2 linked regions of the Macaca fascicularis genome follow. The protein of the gene in region 1 binds, or shares a complex with, the protein of each later gene. Links are inferred from orthologs where the notes say so. Each region holds a gene or a part of one and is shown in the gene's direction. Other genes may lie near its edges.

Region 1 (2,720 bases):
AAAATTAGCTGGGCGTGGTGGTGTGTGCCTGTAGTCCCGGCTACTCAGGAGGCTGAGGCAGGAGAATGGTGTGAACCTGGGAGGCGGAGGTTGCAGTGAGCCAAGATTGCACCATTGCACTCCAGCCTGGGCGACAGAGCGAGAGTCTGTCTCAAAAAAAAAAAAAAAAAAAAAAATAGCAAGAAACCAGTGTGACTGCATTGGGGCCAGACTCTGAGTCCAAGGGAGGTGCTGAGACTCCAGCAGCACGTGGGGACCCTGTCTTTGAGGGACTCGGGGCGGAAAGGGAAGGTAGGAAGGGCCGGTTCTATCCGTGTGGTTTCAGGGAGTCCTGGGCCACAGCCCAAGTCCCCGGGGTCCACATCACATTGAAGGCTGTGTGGGTGGTGCCCGAGGGCTCGCCCCCTGCAAGCGCAGGGGCAGGGTGGTGCCAGGCCCAGCATGAGCCACCCTGTGCCTGGCCCCCAGGAGGAACAAGGTGCTGAACCACTTCAGCATCATGCAGCAGCGGCGGCTCAAGGATCAGGACCAGGATGAGGACGAGGAGGAGAAGGAGAAACGCGGCCGCAGGAAGGCAAGCGAGCTACGCATCCACGACCTGGAGGATGACCTGGAGATGTCGTCTGATGCCAGTGACGCCAGCGGTGAGGAGGGTGAGCACGGGGGCCCGGGCATTAGGCTACAGAGGTACCTGCTCAGGCGGTGCCAGTGAAGGCACAGTCTACCGTCGCTCACAGTGGCCCTAGAATTCGAGGCACCTGGGGCCAGGTGCGGTGGCTCACGCCTGTCGTCCAGCACTTTGAGAGGCTGAGGCAGGCAGATCACCTGAGATCAGGAGTTCGAGACCAGCCTGGCCAACACAGTGAGACCCTGTCTCTACTGAAAACACAAAAATCAGCTGGGCATGGTGGTGCATGCCTCTAGTTCCAGCTACTCGGGAGGCTGATGCAGGAGAATCGCTTGAACCTGGGAGATGGAGGTTGTAGTGAGCCGAGATCACGCCACTGCACTCCAGGCTGGGCGACAGAGAGGGACTCCGTCTCAGAAAAAAAAAAATGAGAGTCAGGCGAGGCTGCCTGGAGGAGCAGTGATATCAGTCAAGAGGCAAAGCCAGAGCCCGGGAGAACTGAGCTGTGGCCCTTCTTTCTTTTTTTTTCTTGAGACAGGATCTCTCTCTCTCACCAGGGCTGGAGTGCAGTGGTACAATCACAGCTCACTGCAGCCTTGACCTCCCAGGGTCAAGCAATCCTCCCACCTCAGCCTCCTGAGTAGCTACAGGACTACAGGCATGCACCACCATGCCCGGCTAATTTTTGTTTTTTTCTTTTGGAGACAGAGTCTTGCCCTGTTGCCCAGGCTGGAACTCAGTGGTGCGATCTCAGCTCACTGCAACCTCTGCCTCCCAGGTTCAAGTGATTCTCCTGCCTCAGCCTCCCAAGTAGCTGGGATTACAGGCATGCGCCACCACGCCTGGCTAATTTTTGTGTTTTTAGCAGAGACGGGGTTTCACCATGTTGGCCAGGCTGGTCTTAAACTCCCGAGCTCAGGTAATCTGCCTGTCTTGGCCTCCCAAAGTGCTGCGATTACAGGTGTGAGCCACAGCACCTGGCCTAATTTTTGTATTTTTTGTAGATACTGGGGTCTCACTCACTATGTTGCCTAGGATGGTCTGAAAACTCCTGGGCTCAAGCCATCCTCCCGCCTCAGCCTGCCAAAGTGCTGGGATGACAGGCATGAGCCACCGCGCCTGGCCTGGCTGAGGTCTTTACGGGGGTTCCTATGAGAAACTGCAACTCTGGGTTGGCCAGTTTCAATAATTCCTGTGCGCTCTGGGCTGTAGGGGCTGTCCCTGGTTATCAGGTGCCTCGCCTGGGGTGGTCTGGGAGTGGGGAGTGGTCTGTGAGCGTTAGAGAACGTGGGTTGGGGTGTGGGGTCTGGACCAGGAGTTTGTTTAGGAGAGCTGAGCTCCTGGGCTGGCCTTGGTGGGGCAGTCTCCCCAGTCAGTGAGGCCCCCAGGATGTCAAAACTGCACAAAATACCCACTGCCTCCCCCTCCTTTTCCTTCCTTTCCTCCCTTCCCAGGCGGCAGAGCCCCCAAGGCCAAGAAGAAGGTGCCGCTGGCCAAGGGTGGCAGGAAGAAGAAGAAGAAGAAGGGCTCTGACGACGAGGCCTTCGAGGACAGCGACGATGGGGACTTCGAGGGCCAGGAGGTGGACTACATGTCGGATGGCTCCAGGTGAGGCCGACGCGAGGCGGCTGCGAGACCCCGTGCGGCCTTGCGGGCGCGCACTCACCCTCTGCCGCCCCTGTCTCACAGCAGCTCCCAGGACGAGCCTGAGAGCAAGGCCAAGCCGCCCCAGCAGGAGGAGGGGCCCAAGGGTAGGCGGCGGCTGGGCGGGCCCCGGGGAGATGCGGGGGGAGATGCGGGCAGTGCGTCTCTGCTCTTGCTCATACCCTGTCCCCCCAGGTGTTGATGAGCAGAGTGACAGTAGCGAGGAGAGTGAGGAGGAGAAGCCACCCGAGGAGGACAAGGAGGAGGAGGAGGAGAAGAAGGCGCCCACCCCGCAGGAGAAGAAGCGCAGGAAAGGTGCGGCCGGTGTGGCCCATGTTGGAGGCTCGGGTCAGGGCCTGGTGCTCTGCTGCCTCCTCCCCTCTCCCCTGCAGGCCTCCCTCATCTGCAGTGGAGGTACCGGTGGATGCCGGGTCCCAGGGTTGCTCTG
Region 2 (4,603 bases), on another chromosome or scaffold:
CACCTTGATCATGTCTTAACCTTCCATTAACCTTGGGGCTCCCAAGCCAGAGTCAAGGTGACGCATGCCTCATGCCACCTCAAGGTGACAGCTCATCCCCAGCACAGCACAGGCGTGTGCACACAGAGGTGTTCCTTGCACCCCCCTCCCTCTCAGGTGTCCTGAGATGCTACTCCTGGGAAACCCCTCAGAAAACTGCCTCACCCGAGACAAGTGCCTGCTGGACAGAGGTGTGATCCCAGGCCTGGTGTCATATGACACCAGCATGCATCGCAGGATTATTAGTGTATTTTGAGTCTAAAAATAATAAATATGTTTGAAGTAGTTTCCTGTTGTGTAGTTAGTTTGCTTATCAACCATGATAGGTATCCAAGACCCCAGAGGGAGACAGAGGTGTTATGGAAGAGGCTTGAGGCTGGCAGCCAGGAGACCTGTGTTCTGGCGCTGCCACTGCCTAGTACACAGTAGTAGTTATGGTACCTCTGCGTTTCTGGGCTCAAGTCTTCCCATCAGTAAAATAGGGGTAACAGAAGCCTTCCCACAGACCATTAGCTCTCTTGGCTGCCCTTGTCTGACGATTTCAGTGGTACATTCTTTAGCCCCAGTAATTTTCTCAGCCTGTACACTGGCTGGGTTCCCTTTGCATGTCTGGTTAGCTCTGTTTTCTGCTTTGCTCTCTTCTGCCTAAGTCAGCTAAATATTATTGGGGGAAGTCAGCAACTAATTGAATTTCAGATCTCTTGTGGGTCTTCCACTGGATCTTTTTTGTACCTCTCTTCATTCCTTGTATCTTTTGACATCCTGTGAAGTTTTTGCAGTAGCTGTTCCAGTTTTCATTGCATTCTCCTTTTTCCTTCATAGCATCCATCTCACACTCAGCAGACAACCATAATTCTTAATTTACAGAGACGACACAGGCTATGGAGCAGGGTTCCATCAGTGCCCACCCTCTGTCTCAGGAAGAGGTGTCAGTCTTTGCAAAGGCAAACTCTTTATCTGGTTACTCTTCTCCCACCTCTTAAATGTAGCTCCTGTCAAGTTCTATTTTAGAGCTTTTGTCTGTTGGAGCAGCCGCCACTTTGTTTGAGGCCCATTGAGAGTTTGAGACTCTCTCCAGTCTGTTTAGGGGACTTCAGTAGTTCTTGGTTGAGCATGCACCCCACATGGTGCCCACTGCGAGGCACTGGAGATGCAGAGACAAAGAGCTCCCACTCACCCACCGCAGCTACACAGACTGCAGAGGAAGCATTAGGTTAAAGAACATTATATCTTTTCCTGAAGTTTTCAGAAGTGCATGGTCCATACTTGAGACTGCAAGGGAAAGGGTATTTACTTATAATTCAGGTATACTTTCCTAAAATATGCATTCATATTAAAATATACTTTTGTTTTTCTGTAGATGTACAAGTTCTTTTTAAGGGCTTCATGATATTCTACGTGTGTATACTTCACCAGGTCTCTTATCAGTGGACAGTACAAACAGTACTACCATGAATGTCCCTGCACTCGTATCTTTGTTTACAACTGCAAGTGTTTCTGCAGTATGAGTTCTTAGAAATGTTACTGTTAAGTCAAGGACGTACGCGTGTTTTGCCAAACTACCCTCCGAGATAGCTGAATCCGGTACATTTTAAAGCAGGAGGCGGTAGAAGACGCTCGGCGGTTCCGGCCTCCGAGCACCAGGCGGCGCTGTGAGCCGTCTTCGCGGAGGCCACGCTGACTGACTTCCGGTGTCGGCGGTGGCGCAGGCGCAGTCACCGCGGAGCTGACGCGGAGGCTGGCGGCCACAGGGAGCGATGCCGTACGCCAACCAGCCCACCGTGCGGATCACTGAGCTCACTGACGAGAATGTGAAGTTCATCATCGAGAACACCGACCTGGCGTAAGGCTGCCGAGGGAAGAGGCTGGCGGCTCTGGGGCGCCGGGAGGCCCAAGCTGGGGCCCCGGGGGCAGGGAGCGGGGGTGGAGTGGGGGTGATGTCCTTCCAGAGCTGCCCCCCTGCGCCAGGGCTTTAGCTTTGGGAGCCTGCGGCGCGGGCCCAGCCTGTCGAGGCTGCAGCGCCTTCACGCCTCTTGGCTTTTCGTCTTTCAGGGTGGCCAATTCGATTCGGAGGGTCTTCATCGCTGAGGTGCCCATAATAGGTAAGCGACCCCCCTTCCTCGTTCCCGGGCCCACGGGTTCCTGCCCCGCTCTCCACCCACACTCCCTGGGGCTCCTTCCAGTCCTTGGTTCGGGCTGAGGGTGGTAGTGCTGAGAAAAGTGCATTGCTGGAGACTTGACCATACCCTGTGCCCTTGGCCCAGTGGCCGCCTCCCTGGCACCCACGGACCACTTAGGTCCACTGTTGTCCTGCGTATGCATTGCTGAGAAGCATGGGTTTAACAGTGTGCAGACTTGGGTTCAAATACTGTTTTCACTACTATTGTCACAAAAGTTTTTTAAATGTTTTCAACTTTTATTTTGGATTCAGGGGGGTACATTGGTGCAGGGTTGTTGCCTGGGTATAGTGCGTGATGCTGAGGTTTGGGATATGAATGATCCTTTCACCCAGGTAGTGAGCCTAGTACCCAATAGGTAGTTTTTTACTCCTAGCCCCACTGCCTCCCTCCCTGCTCTAGTAGTCACCAGTGTGTCTATATTGTCATCTTTATGTCTATGCGTGCCCAGTTTTAACTCCCATGCGGTGTTTGGTTTTCTGTTCCTGTGTTAATTCTCTTAGGATAATGGCTTCCAGGCCGGGCTCACGCCTGTAATCCCAGCACTTTGGGAGGCCGAGGCTGAGGAACACCTGAGGCCAGGAGTTCGAGACCAGCCTGGCCAACATGGGAAAACCTCGTCTCTACTAAAAATACAAAAATTAGCCGGGTGTGGTGGTGCACACCTGTAATCCCAGCTACTGGGGAGGCTGAGGCAGAATTGATTGAACCCGGAAGGTGGAGGTTGCATTGAGCTGAGATCATGCCTCTTACGCTCTAGCGTGCGCAACAGAGTTGAGACTCCTTCTCAAACAAAAGAAAATAAAAAAGAGGATAGTGGCTTCCAGCCGCGTCCATGTTGCTGCAGAGGACATGATTTCGTTCTTTTTAATGGCTGCATCAGTTACTATTTTTGAGAAACTTGGGCAAGTTATTAAACTTCTGCGTACTTCAGTTTCCTCATCTGTAACATTCAGCCACTAATGATCTTTATCAGGGTAATGTTAAGGATTAAGTGAGGTAATCCATAGAAGTGCTTTATGTTTAGTGAGTGCTCAGTGCTGGTAGATGGCTTTTTTATTAATCTATTCCTTCAACAGCATTTATGGAGCATGTAAGTGGCAGGCATGGTGGTAAGCTCTGGGAATACAAAGCTGTAGAGAACATGGTTTTTGCCCTCATGGAGTCCACAGTGAGGTTGCAGGGGGAGAGATGAATCCACAGACAACACTAAAGCAAGGTAGACTGATCAGTAGTTCAGGAGAAGCATAGCTATGGTGCAGTTGGCTCTTAGAGGAGGGAACATCAATTTCTGGTCTGGTTCCAGCCACTTTGCTCCAGGTGCTTAATGCATTGATTATACTTGTATGAAATACTTCAAGCATTTCCGAGAGTCAGGTCCAGAGAGTTTGGGTTAGGCAAAAGAAATATGTGGCATCAAATATTTAGACTTTTAAGGAAATAAGCAAGCCAAATGATTAGGCAAGAGAACGTTGTAGTTTATCCACTACCACCCCCGGCCCCCCAGTCACTTCTTCAATTCAGCTTGGAGTGCTGGACCTCCCCCTGACTAATCACTTCATGTCTCTGGACCTCAGTTTCATCAAGAGTCAGGTGAGGGAGTTGTACTTCATGATGCAGCCCTGCCATTCTGAGTCTAAATGCCTCTTTCCCCACAAATTCAGTTCTACAAATAATGTTGAGCACCCAAGCTAGGAATACAAAGACATCCCAGCACCTGCCTGAAGGAATTTCTGAAGCTTGGGGTATAGACATAACATACACAAATGTGACACAAGGCACACTATGACAAGTGTCTTCAGGGAAGTCTGAAGAGAGTTTCGTGAGAGAGGAGGTGAAAGAGAGGGAGTGCCACACCTGTAGCATAGAGGGCAGGCAAGGCTTAGTTTTTAGGAGGCACAGAGGATCTTAACCTGTACAGTGAGGAGGGGAAGGGTGTGCTGGAGGAAGGGGCCGGGGGATTAAAGAGGCAGAAAAGCTTGGGTCAGGGTTCTCTTAGTTGGCTTGGACTGGGGAAGCAATGGGAAGCATAGCAGGACAGAGTAGGTGGAGGCCTAGCATGTGGAGGTCCTCTTCCGACCTCTGTTCCTAGTGTCTGTGTCCCTCATTTGGCAGTTGGGCTCCAATGCCATTTGATTCCTGGATTTAGTTGGTTCCATGCAAATGTTTATGAATGAATAAATATGTGTTTAAGTCAAGCGTGTGTGATAGATAATACCGTCTTTACCCTCCTACCTGCTCATTGCTGCTAGGGATTGGGTTCTATATTTAGTATGCTTTGTGCGTTAAAGGAATTCAGTAAAAGTCTGTTGGTTGAATGTTTAAAAAGTGCTAAGTTGGGCAGTCCAGTCATTATATCCTAAAATATAGGTATGGCCCATAAGTCT

What was found.
Region 2: GTF2F1 (region 1) and POLR2C share a complex: the UniProt entries of both Homo sapiens proteins name them as parts of the TBP-based Pol II pre-initiation complex. The link is inferred for Macaca fascicularis from reciprocal best matches to the Homo sapiens genes GTF2F1 and POLR2C.

The regions. Positions count from the first base shown.
Region 1 is NC_088393.1:7,160,913-7,163,632, reverse strand, and holds part of GTF2F1 (general transcription factor IIF subunit 1), read left to right. Parts: intron 1-468; coding exon 469-653; intron 654-2,082; coding exon 2,083-2,236; intron 2,237-2,317; coding exon 2,318-2,379; intron 2,380-2,467; coding exon 2,468-2,587; intron 2,588-2,720. UniProt on the Homo sapiens protein: TFIIF is a general transcription initiation factor that binds to RNA polymerase II and helps to recruit it to the initiation complex in collaboration with TFIIB. It promotes transcription elongation.
Region 2 is NC_088394.1:53,561,168-53,565,770, forward strand, and holds the start of POLR2C (DNA-directed RNA polymerase II subunit RPB3), read left to right. Parts: upstream 1-1,752; 5' UTR 1,753-1,796; coding exon 1,797-1,882; intron 1,883-2,091; coding exon 2,092-2,141; intron 2,142-4,603. UniProt on the Homo sapiens protein: Core component of RNA polymerase II (Pol II), a DNA-dependent RNA polymerase which synthesizes mRNA precursors and many functional non-coding RNAs using the four ribonucleoside triphosphates as substrates.